Linked DNA regions of Callithrix jacchus. The protein of the gene in region 1 binds, or shares a complex with, the protein of each later gene. Links are inferred from orthologs where the notes say so. Each region holds a gene or a part of one and is shown in the gene's direction. Other genes may lie near its edges.

Region 1 (5,756 bases):
AGATTCACACAATTTTCAGGAAGACCATCTCCTGTGTAATATTACTTACATTTCTGCTGTAACTGATTATTAGAAAAATGTCCTTTCTGTTCTTAACATTTAAAATCATTGCAGAAATTTAAAATAAAAAGTCAACATCTGTTTTATGTATAGTCATGATTTTGCTGACTTGATCAAGTATTTTTTAAAATCCTTGAAAAAAAATCAGTTCTTAAATTGGTTAAAATGATGATTTGCTAAATGATATTACTAAAATATTGTTAAAATGTGTGCTTTTGGCCAGGCGTGGTGGTGGCTCACGCCTGTAATCTCAGCACTTTGGGAGGCCAAGGCAGGTGGATCACTAGGTCGGGAGATCAAGACCATCTTGGCCAACATGGTGAACCCCTCCCCCCACTAAAAAAAAGAAAACTACAAAAAATTATCTGGGCATGGTGGCGCCTACCTGTAATCTCAGCTACTCAGGAGGCTGAGGCAGGAGAATCACTTGAACCAGGGAGTCGAAGGTTGCAGTGAACCTAGAACGTGCCCCTGCACTCCAGCCTAGTGACAGAGAGACTCTGTCTTAAAATTAAAATTAAATAAAATTTTTTTAAAAAGTGTATTTTTATATACGTATTACTTCCTAGTATTAAAAATAAATGAGTAATTATTATAAATACTACAGATTTTAAAAATACTTGCATTTCTGGCTTCCTATTTGTAATCTTCTTTTGTAGAAAGTACACAAATATTTCTTGAGTCTACTAGCCAGGCACTTTGTCAAGCACTAACTAATAATTCTAATTATTGTATAGGATTTAAAGCACCCATATATACGTTATCTTAATTATTCCTCAGAACAACCCTGTGAAAGCAGAGGATAAGTTTAGAGATGAGATGCTAAATTCATTGTTCATTTATTCATCCAATTCTTCAACAAATGTTTAAATGAGTTTCTACTATCTACCATTCCCTGATAACACTAGGGACATAAGGATGGCTGAGACAGTCTCTGCCTTTGAGAACCTCCATAATTTGTCATTCAAGGTCATGCCACTAGAAAGTGGTGGAGCCAGGTCTTCTGATTCAGTACTCTTTCTTGTTGCCACAGTATCTTTCAAAATAAGAAAGGGGCATAGGATCAAAAAGAAGGTGGATTTTTTTTTTTTTTTGAGATGGGAGTTTTTGCTCTTGTTGCCCAGGCTAGAGTGCAATGGTGCCATCTTGGTTCACTGCAACCTCCACCTCCCAGGTTCAAGCGATTCTCCTGCCTCAGCCTCCCAAGTAGCTGGGATTACAGGCATGTGCCACCACACCTGGCTAATTTTGTATTTTTAGCAGAGACGAGGTTTCTCCATGTTGGTTAAGCTGGTCTCGAACTCCCAGCTTCAGGTGATGTACCTGCCTGAGCCTCCCAAAGTGCTGGGATTACAGGCATGAGCCACTGCACGTGGCGATTTTTTTTTATTACACATTATGAAACTCCTCTGCTCTAGGGAACACAGAAGTGGTGAAAATGAGACTTAAAAATGAACATTGTTATCTTTGTTCCAGAGCAGCAATTTCTGCTTGGCAGTTTAGCAACAGCCACGAGAACCAGAAATAGAATATGTCACTTCCTTTCGGCCTTAGTCTAGGACTGATCACCCTAATCTGTAGGAACCTTAGTGTTTGTCCTGGAGGGAACCCCAAGAACCATAGCCATCCAGGATCCCCGTTTCACAATGGAAACTTCCTGGCTGCCCTTCCTTTGGCAATAATAAGCTGAGTCAGGGCAGGGACTATTGGGACTGTATCATCCTGGAATTCAGTCTTTTCCTCTCCTTACTCCAGGAATAGAAAAGATTTGCTGGCATCAGGTGCCAGAGAGATGTATTTACTGTTCACTCTGTGTAAGTTATCTGAATCAGAAGTACTACTAACTTAACTCTTGGCCAAAAGGCATTGGAGGAAAGGCAAGGAGGAACAGTTGTTTCTGAGGTGGCTTCACTTTATGAGAATGAGCAGCAAGGGAAATTTATGGTGAAGGAAACGATTTCTATGTTTTTTGTATAATTAATAACTTCTTCATATCTCACAGCATCTGGGCGGCTTTTGGGAGGAGCACACTATTCTCTTGGCCTGGACTCTTAGTCAGTGCTTCCTTGTAGGGCCCAAGTTCAATAGACAATATAGATATGTGCCAACTGGCCATTCTAAGCCAGAATTGTACCTAAAGATCAGGAATCTCAGAGAGTGCTTCAGACAAACCGCTCTCTGAAATGTGTTTAGGTCTGTTTCATCTCCATCCTGCTCCAGCTGTTTCTTTACCTTGTACAGGTACCTGTGGAAAAGTGAAAAGCCACTCTACTACTCATATGTCGACAAACCAGTAGCGTATAAAAAAAGAGGTGAGTCATATTTTGTCTTGTTAATACCAAGTATCAACACAGTTGTAGAAAAATTAAATATCTGGACTTGAAATGTGAATGCTTAAGCTTTTTACTTTTCTAAAACAACTGTTTCAGGGCATGTATACATCCAAAGGAGCACCATGCTCTGCAAGAAATCTCTGCAGGAATCTATTTCAGGAACACGCTGTGCTTCAAAACACAGCCTCAGTTCCTGACAAAAATCTCAAGTCCTAAATCGCTATGACTTTGGGAATTCTTTGCTTATAGAATGCCATTTAGATTGTACATTCTTTTTTTTTTAATTGAGTAAAATATATGTGATAAACCATTTTTTAAGTAGTGTCCCCCATGCACCTCATGCAGTTTCATTTTCCATTAACGGTATCCCATCACATTACCACGGTACATTTGCCAAAACTAAGGAACCAGTATCGGTACATTGCTATCAAGTAAACTCCAGGCTTTGTGATTTGTTTCCTTCTTTTCTCCATTTCCAGAAATGGTGGTGAATTTACAGAAACAATTTAGCACACTAGTTGATTCAACACCAACTGCTGGAAAAAAAAGCCCTTCAAGTTTTCAGTTCAACTGGACTGAAGAAGACACTGAGAGAACTTGTTTCCATGGACACAGCCTCCAGGGAGTCCTGAAAGAGAAAGGCCAGTCACTGCTAACCAAGAATTCATTATACTGGCTCAGTACACAGAAGTTCTGCAGATGGTAATCAATGCTTTTAGAAAAAGCTACATATAATTTAAGTAATTAAGTGTGTAAGAGCCAGATAGGTTTTTTGTTGGAATTAGAAGCTGGTGAGCTTAGTCACAAAAATCAGAATTATACATTGAGTCTTGAGTAAGAGTTCTAGGAAATCTGGTAAAAATCAAGAAAGAGGATACAGGGCAGTTAGCACAAACTGTTCACAGTAGCTAAATTAACCAGTACTGTGGCAGGCTGGCAATAGAAGTGGCCGTAAATGTTGATCAGGAGAATACGCTACATTTTTCAGTTAACACTTCGCTGAGTCAGTTACCTTTCTCATGTCTTTCTACCTCTTAATACTTCCTTAAGCATTTCCTAAAAATAAGGATATTCTCTTAAGTGACCCCAGCAATCAAACTCAGGAAACCTAATATTGATACTATACATTTATCTCACCTATAGTCCACATTCCAATTTTGCCAGTAGTCCCCCCGTGTCCTTTTATAGCAGGATCAAGTTCAGGAGTAGGTATGACATTGATTGATTCTATCTCTTTGGTCTCCTTTCGTCTGATTGTCCGTCAGCCTTTCTTTGTCTTTCATGACAGTGGCCTGTAGTTTTCAGAATGTCAGTGATGTCAGAGCATGTTTCTCAGGACGGTTGTGGTGGTTCCTCGTGTTTGGTTCCGCATCCTTGGCCAAAACAAGTGCTGCGTCCTCAGGGTATCACTTTTCAGAGTATGGCATGTAGAGACCGGGGATGCATTTGCCCCTCACATGTTAATAGTGATCAAGGTGGTGCGTTGGATTTCCACAGTGTAGTTACTATGTTTCCCCTTACAACTAATAAAAAATCTGCAGGGAGATACATGGCCAGTCAAATACCCTGATCCTCATTAACCTTTGTCCCCCTGATTCCATGTATTATGTTCTGTCCTCATATCTGTTGGGTGTGGGTATGTGAAGTCTAGAAAACAACATGTGCTTTTATGATTATTGAGTCTGGATAAAGTAGGATTAAAGATGGGAAGCTGCATGAGGAGAGGAATCTATATAGAACATAGTGGAAAACCTGTATGTCTAAATAGTAAGACACACAGGCTTTTGACTTTCATCAGGTTTAATTAATTGTCAGCTCTTTGGCACACTGGCTCTGAGACTTCTGGCTTAGTAATAGGCTGCCTCATTTTTGCTTTACTTTTTCTGAAGAGTTTTATATTCCCCATAAAAGGTAGATATTGGAATAATACAGTATAAATTATTGTTTGTAGGTCATTTATTTTCTCTCTTTTCTTTTTTTTTTTTTTTTTTTTGAGACAGGGTCTTGCTCTGTCACCCCAGCTGGAGTGCAGTGGCACGATAATGGCTCAGTGCAGCCTCAACTTCCGGGGCTTAATCAGTCATCCCACCTCAGCCTCCCAAGTAGCTGGAACTACAGGTGTGCACCACCACACCCGGCTAAGTTTTTATCTTTTGCAGAGACGAGGGTCTCCCTGTGTTGCCCAGGTTGGTCTCAAATGCCTAGACTCAAGCAGTCCTCCTGCCTCAGCTTCCCAAAGTGCTGGGATTACAGGTGTGAGCCACTGCGCCCAGCTGTTTATTTTTATATGACTCAGGAAATTTCCTCAGGCAGTAGGTAGTGAAGAACATATTACTCCCCAGAGCATGTTTGTTTTTTCTTTAATTGTACTGAAAATCAACTCAAAAAGTATTTTTTGAATACTTGAGAAAAATAAGTCATTATCCTGAGTCCTAGGTAGATAAAAAGGTAATTCAGGAAGTATGTTTTCCAAGGCCACTAGAAGAGAAGATTCTTTTTTAATAAGAGAGTGTTTTTCCCACTTCCCTTCTGTAGTGTTTTAATAGCTGTAGAGAGGAGTATATGGATCAGAAATTACAGAGATAATCAGTGGGGTATATTGGTGTTTACTGTAAAATTCTTTCAACTTTGCGGTATGTTTGAAATTTTTTATGATAAATATTGAGGGGAAAAACGAAACAGACTCTGGCTATGCCATAAAATTTTTTCCTCCTTGCCTATTTTAAGTTTTAGTTCAGTTTTATCTAATAATAGCAAAAAGGCCGTTCAATAAAACAGTTTTGTGACTCTGAAGTTACTTTATCTTTCCGTGTCTTCCTGTTAAAAGGACTAGACTAATATTCCCTGACTAAAGTTCTCAGTAATTAACTGTGAAAAATAAAAGCATAAAGGCTTTTCTCATTGAGACTATTTTTAACGCACTCTCATCCCCATATTAACATGGAAATATCCTAAGAGGAAATTGTCCAGTGCTAAAAGAACTTGCTATAGAATCATAGAATCGGGCCATTTCCATCCCAGCTCTACCACTTGCTCATTACAGGAAGGTTACTCACCATCTCTACAGCTGTGCAGGCCCAGTTGTAAAAGTGGGGATAATACCGATCTCCTCCTCTCAAAACCTCCAGTGACTCCCATCTAACTGAAAGAAAGATCCAAAAACACTGTGGAGCCGACATGGCCATCTTGACCTGCCCTCTGCTGTCCCCTGACCTCCCTGCTGTCACCCTCTGTTCACAGTGACCTCCTAGCTGCTCCTCGAACTTAACAGACACTCCCTACATAGGGCTTTGTACCTGCTGTGCTTCCTGCCTAGAATGCTCTTTCCCACATATATTCACATGGGCTCACTTCTTTCAGGTT
Region 2 (6,231 bases), on another chromosome or scaffold:
GCGCATGCCAGGGACACAGGGAATGTCTTGGGTGGCGGAGACAGTGGCGTGGAGAAAGTTCAATGGTGTGAATGGTGCCGCGGAAGGGGCAGTGGGTGCTGAGACTCAGGCCCAGGTGATGAGGGGAGAAGCAAAGAAAACGTGTGTGTTGGGGGGTGAAGGGAAGGGCACCTGAGACAAGTACCTGGTGTCCTTGTCCTCTGTAGGCCCTCAGCCTCAGCGAGAAGCCAGCATGCATCTTTCCATCCCTTCGGCCCCGCAGCCTCGGACTTCCGAGCCTCAGTTTCCCCAGCTCAAAAGGCTGGGACGGGATTCAGATAGGCCCTCGGTCCTCGCGCTGCCGAGGGTAACCTGGAGCAGCGGTCCCGGAGCGCACTCCGCGGGCTGGGCTCGGCTTCACTTACCAGGGTCTGCTCGTACTGCAGCGCCCGCGGCTCCATCCCCTCCTCCGCTGCCGCGGCCGACGCCATCTCCCTGCACTGCCCTCTCGCCTCCCTCCGGGGCTCGGGCTCTGCCCTCTACTCGGCTTCCGGCCCGCAGAGTCAGCGCCGGCGGCCGTCCCGTCCCCGCAGCCCGGGAGACCGAGAGCAGAGTGCGGCGGGCCCGGAGCGGGCGCCGCAGGCGCAGCCTCCGGCTCCTGTCCCCTCCTCGGCGGGCGGGCCGAGGGTGGTGCCCTCTGCGCTGCTCCGCCCGCCAGCCCATCCGGAGGGGCCGGCCCAGCCAGGCCGGGGTCCGCGCGGGGCCTCCCGAGAGGCGGTAGGGGGCGCTGAGCAGTCTGGAGCCCGCGCCGGCTCCCTGCGGAGGCCGGGGAAGGAGAGGGGCGCCCGGGGCCGGGCAGGGGCGGGTCCGCGGGCACGTGGAGGGGCCGGGCCGGGTTGGCGGTTCCCTGCGTCCGGGCAGGAGGGGCTGCAGATGCCCGAGCTCCGCAGGGCTCAGGGATGGGGGTGCTGAGTGATCTACATCGGACGCCTCCGGGTCAGCCGGTTAGAAGCCGCTTCCCCTCTCCCCGTCCCAAGGGACTTGCAGCTCTGACAGGCCTGTCAGGGGTGAGCAGCAAAGCTGGGAGGATTCGGGGCGGATCGGGGCCGTCTTCCTTACTCCTTCCTTTCCCGGGGCTGCCCCAGGGAGGTGCACCCGGAGCAACCCGGCCTGCGGGGTGTGCGGGGGTGGAGGTTGGGAGGGCCCCGGAAGGGGTAGGCCGGAGGAGGGGAGCTCCACGGGCCGGGAGTCCACGCCCGGAACGCGGGCGTGGAGAGCAGAGGTCGCTTCTCCCTGGCTGGGCTCAAGGAGGAACCCGAGTCGCTGCTGCTGTCCCTCCGCTTTCGGGGAACGGTCTGCTGGTGCTCGGGGTTCTCTGTCAGGGGCCAGGGAAGGATAGAAAAGAGGGCGGAGCGCGCGCAGGGTGGACGGGCAGCTGAGCGACAGTGTGAGAGGAGCGGGGGCGGCGCCCAGGACGCGGACAGGGTGCGGGAGAGCCAGTAGTACCAGAAGGAAGGGCTATTTGGGAGGCAGAGGCGGGGCTCGGGGGGCGGGGGCAGTGCCCGGGGAGGGGGGGGGGCCCTGGGAGAGAAGCCGCCACCCAGGAGGAAGGGCCAGTGCGAGGGAAGAGCTGGTATTCAAGGGAGAGGGCAGTGCTAGGCCGAAGGGGTACGGAGGGGATCCGTGTCCAGTAAACGGGAACGCAGAGTACCAAGCTGGAGGGGGAGTGCCCAGGGGGCGGGAGCCAGGCTGAAGGGGCGGTGCGCGGGAAAACCAGGGCCTGGGGGAAGAGGGCAGTGTCGTGGGGTGCCGTATGAGGGGAGGGGACCATGCAGCCTTTCCATTTCTCCAAAGCGACGTCATGGCAAATTCCCAAACTGGACGGATCCGGCTCAGGTTACATCCAGAAGGGCCCAGCCGGCCCAGGCCGGCCCCGGCGTCCTTGGTGTCTCCTGGAGGGGCTGGGCACCTCTGGGGCGGGGTTCTTCTCCACCTGCCCTCGGCGAGGACTGTGCCCTTGGCGGGCACGAGGACCGGCGGGATAGGGCTAGGGCCTGGCCGCTCTGGGCCAAGGATCAAGGTCCCTGCCTGGGTTAGGCCCCCACGCATTCCAATCTTCTGGACTCAGACTCTGAAGAGCGCGCAGTAAAGCCCCAGCGTAGCAGAAGCCGCTCTACAGCCGCGGGAGGTTGGACCTATTGTTTCCCCGCCCTGGGCGGAGCCACCTGGCCGTGAGACCCGCCCTCAATGCCGAAGCCTCTCGGAAACAGTCTTTCGGGGAGGAAGTTAGGTAGCCCCGAGAGGAAGATTGTGGCGGAAGTGGTCGCGTTACCGCCTGTTTGTGCGCATGCGCTACTCTTGTCTAGCTGCCGCCTTTCTGGAGGTGCTTTTGCTCATCTCCCTTCTCCACGCGAGGGGGTGCGCGTACTCCCAGCCGTGGTCGCGCGTTAACCCCTTCTGCTGCTCTCCTGGCCCACTTGCGATGGCGGGCATCCTGTTTGAGGATATTTTCGATGTGAAGGATATTGACCCAGAGGGCAAGAAGTTTGACCGAGGTAAGTAAGGTACGAGGTTTGGAGGAAGACGCTAACCTCGCGGACATGTCCCTGGGCCCCATGCCCACCCAGCTCTTGTGGCCTGCTCCTACCAGCAGGTCCTGATGTAGGGACCTCCCTCAGGAAACACTTTATGAATGAGAAAACGGAGACTCAGCTCTCTGGCTTCACGCATGCCGTGCTGGGTGTCTGGATGGCCTTTTGTCATAGTGCTGGCAAACTCCTGAGCATCTTTATAATCGCTGCCTACTCTGTGCTAGACACTGTCTTGTGCGGCTCATACACCCTTTGCCTTACTTATTCTTAAGAGACCTCGGCCGGGCGCGATGACTCACGCCTGTAATCCCAGGACTTTGGGAGGCTGAGGCGGGTGGATCACTTGAGGTCAGGAGTTCGAGACCTGCCTGGCCATCATGGTGAAACCCTGTCTCTACTAAAAATACAAAAATGAGCCGGGTGTGGTGGTGGCGCGCCTGTAATCCCAGCTACTCGGTAGGCTGAGGCGGGAGAATCGCTTGAACCCAGGAGGCTAAAGTTGTGGTGAGCCAAGATCGAGCCACTACACTCCAGCCTGGGCGGCAGAGCCAGACTCCATTAAAAAAAAAAAAAAAATTATATATATATACGCTAAGCAGTTAACTAGTTAACTCTCAGAAAAGACTTCACTAAGCGCTAAAGATTCTGAGAGCGATACAAGAATATAGACTCTGAAGTTAGATTACTTGCTGTGCAGCCTTGGGTGAGTTACTCAAACTCTCAGAGAAAAACAGGGAAGGCACCACCCACCTCATGAAGACTCCTTTTTTTTTTTTTGAGATGGCGTCTCACTTTGTCACTCACACTGACTGGAGTGCAATGGTGTGATCTCGGCTTACTGCAACCTCTGCCTTCTGGATTCAAGCAATTCTCTTGCCTCAGCCTCCCAAGTAGCTGGGATTACAGGTGCCTGCCACCACACCCAGCTCGTTTTTGTATTTTTGGTAGAGATGGGGTTTCACCATGTTGGCCAGGCTGGTCTCCAACTCCTGACCTCCAGTGATCCACCTGCGTTAACCTCCCACAGTGCTGGGATGACAGGTGTGAGCCACCGCGCCTAGTCTCCATTTCTTTATTTTGTCATTGATCAATAATTTTCTCTTTGGTGTCTGTTTCTTTGCCTAGAGACTCAGATGTTTTTCAAGATGGATACCAGTCATTATACATCTTGATAACCCCCTCAGCACAGTGCCTAGCACAGAAAGAGGAAACCTTTGGATGATTCAATAACTTGCCCAGAGTCAGGTTCTCAGCCATCCAGGCAGGCCTAGAACCTGGATATTATTTGCTGCTGGAGTATCTTTAGTTGTTTTCTGGGGATTACGTTCACTTGCCACAGTTTTTCTCCTGATTTCCTCCTTGCATATCTGGGTCTGACTGAGCCTGCCTTAGAGGACATGAGAGACCAGTGGATGTAGGCTGGGTTAGATTGAGTATTCTGTTGCATACAATCCCACACTGTAGGATCTTCCCTGGGCCTGGCAATACCTCTCTTACTCTTTTTCCACTTTTCCCCAGTGTCTCGGCTACATTGTGAGAGTGAATCTTTCAAGATGGATCTCATCTTAGATGTAAACATTCAAATTTACCCTGTAGACTTGGGTAAGTATTGAACACAGACAATAATAAGAGGCTATTTGCTGCTTCAGCTATTCTTCACTCTCTGATATTGCTGTTATTTTTAGGTGACAAGTTCCGGTTGGTCATAGCTAGTACCTTGTATGAAGATGGCACCCTGGATGATGGTGAATATAACCCCACTGATGACAGGCCTTCCAGGTGAGGGAGTGGAGAAGGTGATACTTGAAATATGCCCTGAGGACTAAGTAGATAAGTGATATAGAAAGACTCTTCTGGCGGGGCACAGTGGTTCATGCCTGTAATCCCAGCACTTTGGGAGGTGGATCATGAGGTCAGGAGTTTGAGACCAGCCTGGGCAACATGGTGAAACCGCGTCTCTACTAAAATACAAAAAATTAATTGGGCATGGTGGTGGGCACCTGCATAGTCCCAGCTACTCAGGAGGCTGAGGCAGGAGAATTGCTTGAACCCAGGAAGCAGAGGTTGCAGTGAGCAGAGATTGGACCACTGAGTTCCAGGCTGGGCAACAGAACAAGACTCTGTCTCCAAAAAAAAGAAAAACGAAAGACTCTTCTTTAATTCCTAGAATAAATAATGATTAGCAGAATCTGAGTAACCTTAAGGAAATTTCTGCACTTAAGAATTCAAACAGACCAGGTACTATGGCTCACACATGTAATTCAAGCACTTTGGGAGGCTGAGTCAGGAGGATTGCTTGAGTCCAGGAGTTCAAGAGCAACCTGAGCAACATAGTGAAACCTCACTGCTACAAAAAAAAAAAAAAGCTGACCATGGTGGCATGTGCCTGTAGTTCCAGCTACCTGGGAAGCCAAGGTGGGAGGATTGCCTGAGCCAGGGAGATTGAGGCTGCAGTGAGCCACGATCATGCTACTGCACTCCAGCCTGAGCAACAGAGCAAGACCCTGTCTCAAAAAAAAAAAAAAGATAAAAAATTTCAAACAACCAGGTATTTATAACAGTGATTACATGCTTGTGAGTTGTAGCTTTTTGAAGGCTGAGAAGATGACCGCTCTGTGGGTCTTGTGTCTTGGGAGGGAGTTTGGTGTAATGGAAAGGCTTTGGCACCCCGCTCGAGTTGATTTCTGAGCTCTACCACTTACTTGCTAAGTAAGCTTGATCTCCTTCAGCCTGTTTCCTCATCAGTAAACTAGAGATGGTCCTGCCTAGCTCACAGAATTGCTGTGAGGACTAAATGGCGTCATGTTTATAATGTGCCTGTTGTTAAAATGCTGGCATCGAGTTACCAGTTACCATTTTTAAATGGCATCTTTTATATTGTTAATTACTGTTAAGAATAACTTTGCTACTCTTGCTCCATAGGGCTGACCAATTTGAGTATGTAATGTATGGGAAAGTATACAGGATTGAGGGAGACGAAACTTCTACTGAAGCGGCAACACGCCTGTAAGTTACATGATCTTGTGAGGATTGTTTTCCCCCTCCCTGTTCTGAGACTTTGAGTTATGCTTCTGCTTCCTCTGTTGGGTCCTTCTCCTTAGGCACCTCAGACATAGGTGGGAACTAGAAAGAAATGGTTATTAGAGCAGTTTCCAGTCTGAATTGTAGACTGCCCTTTGTCAGGCCCTCCTGGCCTAGTGGTCCAGAAGAGAAACTGGTCATCTCCCTGTTAAAGTATGGAGGAACCAAATGCAGCATTAAGTGATTATACTATTAGGCTGTGTGTGTGTGTGTGTGTGTGTGTCTTTTCCTTAAAATCTTATTAAAACAATATGTGCTGTTTGTAAGTAATTTGAAATGCGGAAGAGAATGTGAAGAAGAAAAAAAACCCTGTCATTCCATACCCAGAGAGAACCTTTTACATAGACTTTTTTGCATATCCTAGTGTTCTTTTTTTAAATTTATTTTTAATTTTTTGTTAATATCCTAGTGTTCTTAACATCTATATTTTTCCTTTGAGACTGCGGTGTTAATTACCTTTTTTCTGCTTTTTGCTTAACATTATGTAAAACATGTTTTGGCCGGGCGTGGTGGCTCACACCTGTAATCCCAACATTTTGTGAGGCCGAGGTGGGTGGATCACCAGGTCAGGAGTTTGAGA
Region 3 (6,293 bases), on another chromosome or scaffold:
TTTGGGAGTCCAAAGTGGGCAAATCACTTGAGGTCAAGAGTTCAAGACCAGTCTAGCCTGGCCAACATGGTAAAACCCCATCTCTACTAAAAATACGAAAATTAGCTGGATGTGGTGACAAATGCCTGTAATCCTAGCTACTGGGGAAGCTGAGGCACAAGAATTGCTTGAACTCAGGAGATGGAGGTTGTAGTGAGCCGATATCATGACACTGCACTCCAGCCTGGGTGACAGAACAATACTTCATCTTAAAAAAAACCAAACCAAATCGCTGTGTTTTATTTTGTGAAATAGGGTATAGCTCTATCGCCCAGGCTGGAGTACAGTGGTGCAATCATAGCTCACTGTAGCCTTGAACTCCAGAGCTTAAGCAATCCCCCCGCCTCAGCTTCTGAGTAGCTCGGACTACAGGTATGTGCCACCCTATGTTGCCTAGGCTGGTCTTGAACTCCTGGAGATACACCACACACACACACACACACACACACAGTTTTTTTTTTGAGATGAAGTTTTGCTTTTCTCGCCCAAACAGGAGTACAGTGTCCTGATCTCGGCTCACTGCAACCTCTGCCTCCGAGGTTCAAGCAATCCTCCTGCCTCAGCTTCCCAGGTAGCTGGGATTACAGGTGCCGCCACCACGCCTGGCTAATTTTGTATTTTTAGTAGAGACAGGGTTTCATCATGTTGGCCAGGCTGGTCTCAAACTCCTGGCCTCAGGTGATCCACCTGTTTTGGCCTCTTAAAGTGCTGGGATAAGAGGCATGAGCCACTGGGCTTGGCCCACTCATATACATTTTTTTAAAAAATTGATTAATTAATTAAATTTATTTATTTCTAGATGGGGTCTTGCTCTGTTTCCCAGGTGGGAGTGCAGTGGTGCTATCTCTTGGGCTTAAGCAATCCTCAGCCTCCCAAGTAGCTGGGACCATAGGTGTGTGCCACCACACCCATATAATTTTTATTATTTTTCATTTTTAAAATTTTTTATAGAGATGAGCTTTCACTGTGTCATCCAGGCTGGGTATTTCTTTTCTTTTTTTTTTTTTGAGACGGAGTTTCGCTGTTGTTACCCAGACTGGAGTGCAATGGCACGATCTTGGCTCACTGCAACCTCTGCCTTCTGAGTTCGAGCAATTTTCCTGCCTCAGCCTCCAGAGTAGCTGGGACTACAGGCATGCACCACCATGCCCAGCTAATTTTTGTATTTTTAGTAGAGATGGGGTTTCACCTCGTTGACCAGGATGGTCTCATCTCTTGACCTCGTGATCCACCCGCCTCGGCCTCCCAAAGTGCTGGGATTACAGGCATGAGCCACCACGCCTGGCCGCAGGCTGGGTATTTTTGATAGGCCTGTACACTTTCCAAAGTTGCAAACTCTTCCCCTCCCAGAGGGTAGGGGCAGCCCCTGTTCTCCCTCTACATCCCCCACAGTCCCTAGGTCTTGGCCTCTGCTGTTTCCTCTGCTTAGAACATCCATTGCTATTTTGTTGGTGGGCCTAATTCGTGATTCTCTTTTAAAAGCTTAAGTTTGGCCTGGCACAGTGGCTCATGCTTGTAATCCCAGCACTTTGGGAGGCCGAGGCAGGTGGATCACCTGAGGTCAGGAATTTGAGACCGGCCTGAACAACATAGTGAAACCTGGTCTCTACTAAAAATACAAAAATTAGCCGGGTGTGGTGGCATGCGCCTGTAATGCCAGCTACCCAGGAGACTGAGGCACGAGAATTGCTTGAACCAGGAAGGCGGAGGCTGCAGTGAGCTGGATCACGCCACTGCACTCCAGTCTGGGCAACAGAGCAAGACTCGATCTGGAAAAGGAAAAAAAAAAAAAAAAAAAAAAAAAAAAAGGTCAAGGGGTGACATTTGGAAACTCCTGTTATTTCTCATTCCAGCATCATCACAGCCTTGAGGCTTTGGGGAAGGTCACTTCGTCGACCTCGTTTCCGTGAAGATAACGTTATCTTGAGTATCTGTGAGGATGCTGCATCGAGTAGAGAGCCCAGGCTCCTGGGTCAGCGGGGTTTGAATCCCGTTTCCTCCGTGAGGATCTGGGTTAATCACAGGGCTTCAGCTTCTTCGATTAGACTGACGGACGCTTTGACTCCAAAACATTAACAATCGCGTGTACTCGGCCACAGCTTAACACCTCCAGGGTGCTTTCACCCTTTCTTTGGAATCCTCAGGGCTGGATGGAGCCGGCAGTTCAAGTCTCTACACTCCCGCTTTCTCGTTGGGCGGTACAAGTCCTCCAAGTAGAATGAGGGGATGACTTTGGCGGCGCTCTAGCCCGCCGAGAGTATTCACTCTCCCCAAGCGGGGGCTCTGATTGGCTGAAGGTTGCGCTGGCTCGCGCGACTTCCGGGACAGAGGGCTGGAAGGCACCGCGCATCCGGCGGGAGGTGCTGAAGTCGCGTTGGTTCGGCCCAATGGCGGCGCCGCTGCTTCACACGCGGTTGCCGGGAGATACGGCCGCTTCGGCCTCTACGGTCAACACGCTGGGCACGTCGAGGACCGGGTAAGATCCAGGCCGCTTCCTTCTGCGCGTCCGGACCAAAGCTCAGGACACGGCGTTGGGGAGCAGATTGAAAGGGTCTGGGACAAAGCTAATGGTTAGGTAGGAGCAGGGGATCGAGGGCCATCTCACGTTCGCAGGAGTGAGCTCATTCCTCTAAGTGGGTAATAGACATAGGAGGGGGCTGGAAAAGTAAGTATATTCTCTGTTCTGGCCCCCTTTCCCTACTATATGTTTCTTGGTGGTTTCCCAGGCCTGGGTACTGCTTTCTGCGCCTTGACGCCTCTTCCTTCCCGCTTCTTGGAAGGGAATCTCTGGGCTGTTTGGTTTATCCGCTCAATGTTGTCAGTCATGGCTAATAAAATATTACAATTTTTTTGGTTTGAAATTTGTTTCGACACATAACTTGTTTAGCAGTCTTTATTTTGTTCCACTTTTAAAATCCCTAACCCACATAGCACAGTTGGCATTTAACTTTCAGAGTCATTAAGATGCTGTGTTTTTTCATTTATTTACTCTGTGCAAGTGAAGACCTTGTAAAACATTTAGCGTAATAAGATTCTTTCTTTTCTTTTTTTTTGAGATAGTTTCGCTCTTGTTACCCAGGCTGGAGTGCAGTGGTGCGATCTCGGCTCACCGCAACCTCTGCCTCCTGGGTTCAAGCAATTCTCCTGCCTCAGCCTCCCGAGTAGCTGGGACTACAGGCGCGCACCACCATGCCCAGCTAATTTTTGTATTTTTAGTAGAGACAGGGTTTCACCTTGACCAGGATGGTCTCGATCTCTTGATCTCTTGATCCACCCGCCTCGACCTCCCAAAGTGCTGGGATTACAGGCGTGAGCCACTGCGCCCGGCCTGATTCATAATATTTCTTGAGCTCCTGCTTACTGTATTAAATACTGGGGACGAGTAGTTTATCCAAAGACACGAATGTCCCTGCTTTCTACAGAGCTTACAGCCTGGGGCGGGGGGGAAGGCAGTACAGAGACCAGTAAACAAATGAACACGATGATTTCAGTTGTACAACAGGGTAATAGGGGAGGGAGAAGGGAGAAAATGAATATTTGATATTTCTCGTGGGGAAAACATCTGACATTTGAGCTTCAACTTGAATGAAGGCAAAAATCCAGGCCTGGTGTGGTGGCTTACTCCTGTAATCCAGCCACTTTGGGAGGCCAAGGTGCAGGTGGATCATCTGAGGTCAGGAGTTCAAGACCAGCCTGGCCAACATGGCAAAACTCCATATCTACTAAAAATACAAAAATCAGCCAGGCATGGTGGTGGGTGCCTGTAATCCCAGCTTTGTGGGAGGCTGAAGCAGGAGAAGTGCTTGAACCCAGGAGATGGAGGTTGCAGTAAGTGGAGATCACCGCACTGCACTCTAGCCTGGGTAACAGAGAAAGACTCCGTCTCAAAAGCAAAAAACAGACAAACAAAAATCCAGCCATATAGATTTGGGAAAAGAGTATTTCCAATAGAGTGAACAGTAAGTGAAATGAGAACCAGCTTGACATATTTGAAGAGCAGGAAAGACATTATGGCTGTAGTAAAACAAGTTATTGGGAGATAGATAGGGTCAGAGACGTAGGCAGGGGCCAGATTAATGTAGGACCTTAAAGACCACACTAAGAAATTTGGATTTTTAGTATAAGTGCAGTGGGAAGACAGTTTTTGGTTGCTGAGCAAAGGAGGGATTGTTGGAGAAAAGTGGAAGCAGGGAGAGCAGTAAAGAGCCCTTAAAAACAGCCTCATTGAATGATGTTGGCTCAATAAATGTTGGCTATTACAATTCTTATTATTTTCATGAACTTAATAGCTTGTTAATCTTGGTTCCACAGGATTTCAAGTATGCTTGCATTAGAAAACGATTTTTTCAATTCTCCCCCAAGAAAAACTGTTCGGTTTGGTGGAACCGTGACAGAAGTCTTGCTGAAGTACAAAAAGGTAAGAGGAGGTAATGTATGAAATTTGCTTTTGGTCAGGTCAGAATACAACTATTGCTGTTATACTGAAGACCAATAGAAATGTAAGATGAGTTTAGATACCAGTTGAAATCAAATATTTCATAATAGTTTGATGCTGGCAGTTCAAAATTAAAGTAGTAATGTCCTTTTTTTCCCCTCCACCGTGGCCCATTTCATAGGTGAGAGTAATAATGTGTTCTGAGGTTTCACCTTTTCACATGCTTTACTTACATAGCATCTTTTAACTTTAGCAAGTGCTAGAGTTAAAAACAATTACAGCATTTTATTTTTTTTGAGGAACTTAATACAACTTTGGGACGGTAAGCCAGTTCTCGGAATAGATATTTTTGTTTTTGTGGTAGGTTAGAAGCATTTCTGCTAAATCTCAGCAGTAGAGGGAAATGACTGGATGTGTATACGTAATATCCATTTGTATCCACATTTGAGTGCATACTTTCTTAGATCTTCCTGAATTAGATCATTATGGCTGATGTGTGAAAGTTAGTGTTCCTTTTATAATTTCATCTGATGTTAAACTATGGCTAAAAGTCCTGTTGATACTAAACAGGAAACAAAAGCAAACATAACTTAATTCTTTCCCCGTCTTGTTAAGGGTGAAACAAATGACTTTGAGTTGCTGAAGAACCAGCTGTTAGATCCGGACATAAAGGTAATTAATTTTGTGTTTAATCATTAACAAAATTATTGCCACTTTATATGGACATTAGTTTGCTCTTTGGGTCCCATTATGTCCTCCAGAACTTGCTCTTTCCGAGGTCCTCTCCTACTTTCATCTGGTGTTCTAAACCAGGGACAGTTTTACCCCCTAGGAATTTGGTGATGGTTGCAGATGTTTTTATTTGGGAGGAAGGGGTGCTACTGGCATCTAGCAGGTGAATGACGGAGATGCTGCTGAACATCTCACAGTGCACAGGGCAGACTCCCATAACCAAGACTGATCCAGCCCCAGCTGACACCCGTGTGGCAGCTGGGAAACCCTGCTCTAGTGCTTCCTTTCTCTTAGACTTCATGCTGCATGCAACTCTCTTGTCTCTTTAAAGCTAAAACAAAACAAAAACTACTGTTTCAAGTTCAAAATTTACCTGTCATGTAGTAAAAACTCAATACATTTTGTTTCACTGTTCTTCCTTTACTGCCAATTTTGAAAAGAATAGTTGATTACCATGGCAATGGTAGTTAGATTGCCTGGGATAAAATTTCAGTTTAATTGTTATCCAGCATGTGATCTTGAGCAAATTGTTTTAACCTCTCTGCCTCTATTTTCCACTGTGTAAACCAAGAAAACAATAGAGATTTTTAAAAATATGGAGTGTTTTGTTTTTTAAGAGATGGGGTCTTGCTGTGTTGCCCCGGCTTCTCACAGGTGGTATCATAGTACAGTACAGCCTTGAACTCCTGACCTCAAATGATCCTTTCTCCTGAGCCTCCTAAGTAGCTGAGACTGTAGGTACATGCCACTGTGGAATGCACCTACATGGAAATATTTAACAAAGATTCAATGAGCTTATATACAAGAAGCATTTAGAACATTCTCTGACTCAAAGTAAGGGCAGTGATTGTTAGCTGATATTTTTGTTCCTGCTCTCTGCACCTTATCATTTCTCACTCACATTTAAGCCCATTCTTCTTATCACTGTAGTAATTACCCTGACAGAGGTTACCTGTATGTATGTGTGTGTGTGTTTTTTTTTTTTACACACTGATTTCAGTGGACTTTAATTTTTTTGAGATAGAGCCTCGCTCTTGTCACCCAGACTGGAGTATAGTGGCATGATCTGGGCTGACTGCAAACTCTG
Region 4 (6,327 bases), about 83 Mb from region 1:
AAAATAGAAAAATACAATAAACCAACTAGACTTGACAAATATCTGCAAGGCACTCCACCCAACAGCAGCAAAATACACATCCTTCTCAAGTGCACATGGAACATTCTCTGGGGTAGATCATGTGCTAGGCTATAAAAACAAGTCTCAGTAAATTTAAAAGAATTGAAGTCGTACTATACATGTTTTCTATGTTGGAATAAAATCAGAAATCAATAACAAATTTTGTTAATTTCTGTATTAATGAAGAAATATACAAGTAAGAAGGTCAGACTAATAACAATTCCTTTTTTTTTTCCTTTTTTACCTACAAAGCATGAAAATCTTTTTTTTTTTTTTTTTTTTTCCTGAGACGGAGTCTCGCTCTGTCGCCCAGGCTGGAGTACAGTGGCACAATCTCAGCTCTGCCTCTGCAAACTCTGCCTCCCAGGTTCAAGTGGTTCTCCTGCCTCAGCCTCCCGAGTAGCTGGGACTAGAGGTGTGCACCACCACACCTGGCTAATTTTTTGTATTTTTAGTAGAGACGGGGTTTCACCGTGTTAGCCACAATGGTCTCAATCTCCTGACCTCGTGATCCTCTCATCTCAGCCTCCCAAAGTGTTGGGATTGCAGGTGTATTATTAGTCGTGCCTGGCCCGACTAATAATAATTCCTTTAAAACTTCCCACAGGGAAAAGCCCAGGACCAGATGGCAAGGAATTAACACCAATATTTCACAGACTTTCCTAAAAAATAGAAGAGAAGGAAATAATCCTCAGCTAACTTTATGACTTCACTCTTAATACTCTGATACTAAAACCAGACAAAGATGTCACAAGAAAAGTAAATAGCATACCAATAGTCTCTTAGGAATACAAATAGAAAAAATCTTCAACAAAATACTAGTCAACCAAATCCAGGAACATAGGAAAAGGATTATACATTATGACTTATCCTAAGATTACAATGTTTGGAATAACACATGTTCTTTTGTAAGTGGGAGCTAGGCTGGGGGTGATGGCTCACACCTGTAATCTCAGTACTTTAGGAGGCCAAGGTGGGCAGATCACATGAGGCCAAGAGTTTGAGTCCAGTCTGGGCAACGTGGTTAAATCTCATCTTTATTAAAAATACAAGAATTAGCTGGGCATGGTGGCGCATACCTGTAATCCCAGCTACTCTGATGGCTGAGGCACAAGAATCACTTGAACTTGAGAAAAGGAGGTTGCAGTGAGCCAAGTTCATACCACTACTCTCCAGCCTGGGTGGCAGAGCAAGACCCTGTCTCAAAAAAAAATTAAATTAAAAAGTGGAAGCTAAACATTGGGTACACATGGACATAAAGATGGAACAGCAGACACTGGGGACTACTAGAGCAGTGAGAGAAGCAGGGGAGCAAAGGTTTAAAACTACTTATTGGATACAAAACTACCTATTGGAACTTGGGTGACAGGTTCAACCGTGTCCCAGACCTCAGCATCACGCAATATACATTTGTAACAAACTTGCACAGGTACCCCTGATTCTAAAATAAACGTTGAGAAGGGGAAAAAAGAATGCAAAGCTTGTTTAACTTACAAAATTTACTTAATATACCACTTTAGTAGAAAAAAGGAGCAAAAAGCACATGATCATTTCAATATACACTGAAAAAGCATTTGGCAATAACACTCTTGGGAAGAAAACCTCTCAACAAACTAGAAATAAATTACTTTCTCAACTTGATAAAGAGCATCTTTGGAAAAACCCACAGCCTACATCATATTAATGGTGATGTGAATGCTCCAGTTGGGAGCTTTCTTCCAACATCAGGCACAAAACAAGTATATTTATTCTTGTCCCTTCAACATTGTACTAAATGTTGGACGCCCCCCTACCACAGCCTCTCCATCTGAGACCGCCCGACCCCTACCCCACCTCCTTCCCCGGGCCTCCCCCAGGACTCCAGTCCAGACGATGCGGGGAGGTTAGCGGGCCCGACCTTGGCCTTCCAGGGGTGAGCCTCGCGATTTAGGAGTTGGGTAAAGAGCCCGGGGCCCGGCATCCGATTTTTCATTGAAACAACGACTTTGTCCGGATGACTCCCCAGGGTCGGCATCAGCGTGGGACTTGGAACAGGTTAAGGGACCGGATAGATGGGAACCTGAGAAGACCGCTTACCTCCAATCCTAATTGACTGAGCCAATGAGAGCCAAAGAGGTCACACGCTCAACTGGGTGAGGAGTGGGTTTCGCCTTCTTTAGCAGAGGAGGGAGATGCGTGGAGCGGAAGATGGGAGAAGGGGCGGACCCGCCACGCTCTGGCTGGATACAGCTTTAACCGGCCCGTTCACTCGACGGTTTTGGTTCTACGTCGACCCCATAAAAACCGTAGGGCCTAGGGCGGGCGGAACAAGAGGGAACTACATTTCCCAGCAGGCTGCGGAAGCGGGACTCCGGCCACTACTTCCGGCGCGTACTGAGCGACGGGTGTTAGGTGTGCAAGTAGCCGCATGGATCCCTGCAGCCGGTGGCGAAACCTTCCCAATGGGCCTAGCCTAAAGCACTTGACCGACCCGTCTTATGGAATCCCGCGGGAACAGCAAAAGGCAGCGTTGCAGGAGCTGACGCGGGCTCATGTGGAGTCCTTCAACTATGCTGTGCACGAGGGTCTCGGCCTCGCGGTGCAGGTGAGTGCGGCATCCACTGGCGCCCTTGCCGCGGAGAGACCAAGCTCGAGGCTGGCGGGCGAGAGGGGCCAGGCGGAGCTGGAGGAGGGAGGGGCGGGGGTGAGGTCTGGGCCTTGTGGGGCGCGGGCGGTGACAGGGTCCCAGAGAAATGGCTCAGAGGCCACAGTGTGACCCAAAATGCGTTTGCTCCTTGATCCTGACAGGCTCAGAGGGTAAGCGGGAGAGCACACGTGTTGAACAAGACGCAGAGCTGGGCCTCGTGGAACGTGTATTCGAGTCGTCTAAGAGATGTATTCGTGATTTCTGGATTGAAAAGTGATTGCGAACCATAGTTTCTTGTTGGATAGTTTCTGGGTTCTGTGAGAGTGAGGAAATGGCTTATTGGGGGTGTGCTTCCCAACCATTCACAATGCACATGCCTTTGTATCACTTGAAGACACCTCTCCAAAACGTACCTCAAAATATTCTGAACGTATTTGTAGGTACAGTGTAATGTACAAGGTTATCCTTCAGTTTCCTTTTCTTAGAGCTTTAAAGAGAGAAACTACTCATTTGTTCTGAATTAAGTAGGTGCTAAAGAAGGTATAAATGAGTCGTAAAGGCAAGATTGAATCGAAAAGTGTAATAGCATTACTAGCGTAGGGTAATGGTAGCAGAATTGAGGTGAGGATGGTGGGGGAAAGTTTCGTTTAGTAAGTATCCCCAGTGTCTCTAGGCACTAGGCTCTGAGGATGTGAAGGCCGCAGTCCCGTGTAAGAGACAGTTCATACATTTAAGTGGTCCCTGTCGTGTTTTGGGGTTAAAGGAGTGAAGATAGGAAAGTAGTCCATGCCAATACGCGAGCACTGCTCTGTCAAGGGATTTTATGGGCTACTGTGGGAGCATATAGGCAGCGCAACTAGTCCAGGAGTTTGAGAAAAGGCAGGATTAGATGAGTTCAAGAGGTGAGAAACATGCATTCCGTCCAGGGGAAGAGTAGAGCAGAGTCACATGCTTAGGGGACCCTACCTGTGGTTTTGTTGTGTAAGATTTGTGTTGTGAGAGATACGGGTAGAGATAATGTGAAGAGCTTTGATTGCCAGTCTGATACTTGAACTCTATTCCGCAAATAATACGGGAGGCATTAAAATTTATTTTTTGGGAAGACAAGAGTGGTGGGGATATTTGTATGTATTGTGCCTGGATTCTTAGAGTATCATGTCTGTGAGAAAAAATACCTAATTAAAAGTTAATTAGACCAGGTACAGTGGCTCACACCTGTAATCCCAGGACTTTCGGAGGCCGAGGCAGAACGATGGCTTGAGCCAGGATTTCAAGACCAGCTTGGGTAACATAGTGAAACCTCGTCCTCTGTAAAAGTTAAAAGATAGCAGGGCATGGTGGTGGGCACATGTGGTCCCAGTTACTTAGGAGGCTGAGGTGGGAGGCTAACTTGAGCCCAGGAATTCAAGGCTGCAATGAGCTATGATTGTGCCACTGCACTCCAGCTGGGGTAACAGAGCGAGACCTTGTCTTTAAAAAAAAGATAATCAAATTGAGAAATTTTAGAAAAGCACTAATTCGGGCCGGGCGCAGTGGCTCACGCCTGTAATCCCAGCACTTTGGGAGGCCGAGGCAGGTTGATCACGAGGTCAAGAGATCGAGACCATCCTGGTCAAAATGGTGAAACCCCGTCTCTACTAAAGATACAAAAAATTAGCTGAGCATGGTGGCACATGCCTGTAATCCCAGCTACTCAGGAGGCTGAGGCAGGAGAATTGCCTGAACCCAGGAGGCGGAGGTTGCGGTGAGCCTAGATCGCGCCATTGCACTCCAGCCTGGGTAGCAAAAGTGAAACTCCATCTCAAAAATCAATCAATCAATCAATCAATAAACCAATTGATTGGGTGTGGTGGCTTTTGCCTGTAATCCCAGCACTTTGTGAGGCTGAGGCAGGCGGATCACTTGAGGTCAATCAAGAGTTCCAGACCAGCCTGGTCAACACAGTGAAACCCTGTCTCTACTAAAAATACAAAAATTAGCCGGGCATGGTGGCACATGTCTGTATTCCCAGCTACTTGGGAGGCCGAGGCACGAGAACCGCTTGAACCCTGGAAGTGGAGGTTGCAGTAAGCTAAGATTGCACCACTGCACTCCAGCCTGGGCGACAGAGCAAGGCTCTGTCTCAAAAATAAATAAATAAACAGAAATAAAAATAAACCAATTGTATGTTAACATTTTTATGAAAATCATTTTTCAGAGCAAAAAAGAAATTAGATGAATTGCATTATTAAAAATCTTTTTAATGTCTGGCTTAATGAAAAGACAGCTGGATTCTCATGTCTGCTTCTGCATTCAGCTCCTTGTGATACATTGTTTTGGTTGAAGTAGATGAAGAAAATTTGGCCCTGCACAGAAAATAATGTCACAACTTATCTAGGACTGTAATAATAACATATTTGAAAATGTTCTGTAAAACACAGTAAAGTAAATGACTACTATTTATAAAGCCAAGGGGAAAAAAAAGTTTTATCATATTTTTATGTACTTACAAAATGTAATTTTGCCTACTTTCTTTGGAGTGAATTCCTCTTGTGAGTCAGAATTTATGGGTCTGTCTTTTCAAAATATTTTCAAAATACAATTGATTTTTATTACTTGGGGAGTCTATCTTTGCAAATTTACCCACTCACTAAAATTTACTTGTACTGCAAAAGCACCGTGCCCAGAAGCAGTGAAAAAGTTGAGTTGTTCAGTATCCATTTTTCCAGCTGAGATCCAACAAGGTGATGCTCGGCCTTCTTGTTTTAAGTTTATAAACTATAAACAGGGGTCATCTTCACTATTATTTAGTGCCTTCTTTGTGCTTTTTGTTGGGGATTTTATTGTTTAAAATGGCCCCCAAGCAAAGTATTAAAGTTCTGTATAAAGTTCCTATCCCACAAGCTGTGCCTTTTGGGGATAATATTAATACATGCATTTAACATAGGCTTTTTTCAAGCCTGAGTTAGGGACTCAGTAATATATATTAAATAGGCTGCCTTTAAACAGAAACATACATAATGCGAGATTGTGTGTTGATTAGTTGATGAAATGTGACCAGAGGCTTACAGGAAGCTACCCATGTATTTACCCTAGGAGCAGTGGTTCAGTATTGGCTAATTCAGTGTTTATGGCAACTGTATAGAACATAACATTGTGAATGACAACAATTCACTGTATTTAGATCTAAATAGTGCAGCTGTGTCTTGAGAAAGCAAATCCTGTAATCTTTCTTTTTTTAAACTAATACTCCATTCTTTTTTTTTTTGAGACAAGATCTACTTTGTCACCCAGGCTGGAATGAAGTGGCATGATTATAGCTCACTGCAGCCTCGACCTTCCAGACTGAAGTGATCCTCCCACCTCAACTTCTCAAGTAGCTGGGACCACAGGCACACACCACTATGGCCAGCTAATTTTTTTATTTTTATTTCTTTGTAGAGACAAGGTCTCCCTATGTGGCCCAGGCTGGTCTCGAACTCCTGGGCTCAAGTAGTCCCCTGCCTCAGTTTCCCAAATATTGGGATTACAGGTGTGAGCCACTGCACCTGGCTTTTTTTTTTTTTTAATAAAATATGAAATTCTAAAATAATACCAGCTTTAGATAAAATTTAAATATTTAGAAAAGGTCAGTTAACTCTCGTGAGGGTGGAGAACCTCAT

The links. Proteins that work in one complex are often made in the same cells at the same time.
Region 2: TAF1B (region 1) and POLR2H share a complex: the UniProt entries of both Homo sapiens proteins name them as parts of the pol I pre-initiation complex. The link is inferred for Callithrix jacchus from reciprocal best matches to the Homo sapiens genes TAF1B and POLR2H.
Region 3: TAF1B (region 1) and RRN3 share a complex: the UniProt entries of both Homo sapiens proteins name them as parts of the pol I pre-initiation complex. The link is inferred for Callithrix jacchus from reciprocal best matches to the Homo sapiens genes TAF1B and RRN3.
Region 4: TAF1B (region 1) and POLR1B share a complex: the UniProt entries of both Homo sapiens proteins name them as parts of the pol I pre-initiation complex. The link is inferred for Callithrix jacchus from reciprocal best matches to the Homo sapiens genes TAF1B and POLR1B.

The regions. Positions count from the first base shown.
Region 1 is NC_133515.1:105,060,533-105,066,288, reverse strand, and holds part of TAF1B (TATA box-binding protein-associated factor RNA polymerase I subunit B), read left to right. Parts: intron 1-2,301; coding exon 2,302-2,372; intron 2,373-2,872; coding exon 2,873-3,095; intron 3,096-5,756. UniProt on the Homo sapiens protein: Component of RNA polymerase I core factor complex that acts as a GTF2B/TFIIB-like factor and plays a key role in multiple steps during transcription initiation such as pre-initiation complex (PIC) assembly and postpolymerase recruitment events in polymerase I (Pol I) transcription.
Region 2 is NC_133516.1:13,339,542-13,345,772, forward strand, and holds the start of POLR2H (DNA-directed RNA polymerases I, II, and III subunit RPABC3), read left to right. Parts: upstream 1-2,339; 5' UTR 2,340-2,461; coding exon 2,462-2,534; intron 2,535-4,088; coding exon 4,089-4,172; intron 4,173-4,255; coding exon 4,256-4,349; intron 4,350-5,492; coding exon 5,493-5,576; intron 5,577-6,231. Other genes in the region: CLCN2 (chloride channel protein 2), read right to left, coding at 405-470. UniProt on the Homo sapiens protein: DNA-dependent RNA polymerase catalyzes the transcription of DNA into RNA using the four ribonucleoside triphosphates as substrates.
Region 3 is NC_133513.1:13,150,993-13,157,285, forward strand, and holds the start of RRN3 (RNA polymerase I-specific transcription initiation factor RRN3), read left to right. Parts: upstream 1-2,401; 5' UTR 2,402-2,426; coding exon 2,427-2,515; intron 2,516-4,350; coding exon 4,351-4,456; intron 4,457-5,089; coding exon 5,090-5,146; intron 5,147-6,293. UniProt on the Homo sapiens protein: Required for efficient transcription initiation by RNA polymerase I (Pol I). Required for the formation of the competent pre-initiation complex (PIC).
Region 4 is NC_133515.1:22,053,986-22,060,312, reverse strand, and holds the start of POLR1B (DNA-directed RNA polymerase I subunit RPA2), read left to right. Parts: upstream 1-2,435; 5' UTR 2,436-2,467; coding exon 2,468-2,644; intron 2,645-6,327. UniProt on the Homo sapiens protein: Catalytic core component of RNA polymerase I (Pol I), a DNA-dependent RNA polymerase which synthesizes ribosomal RNA precursors using the four ribonucleoside triphosphates as substrates.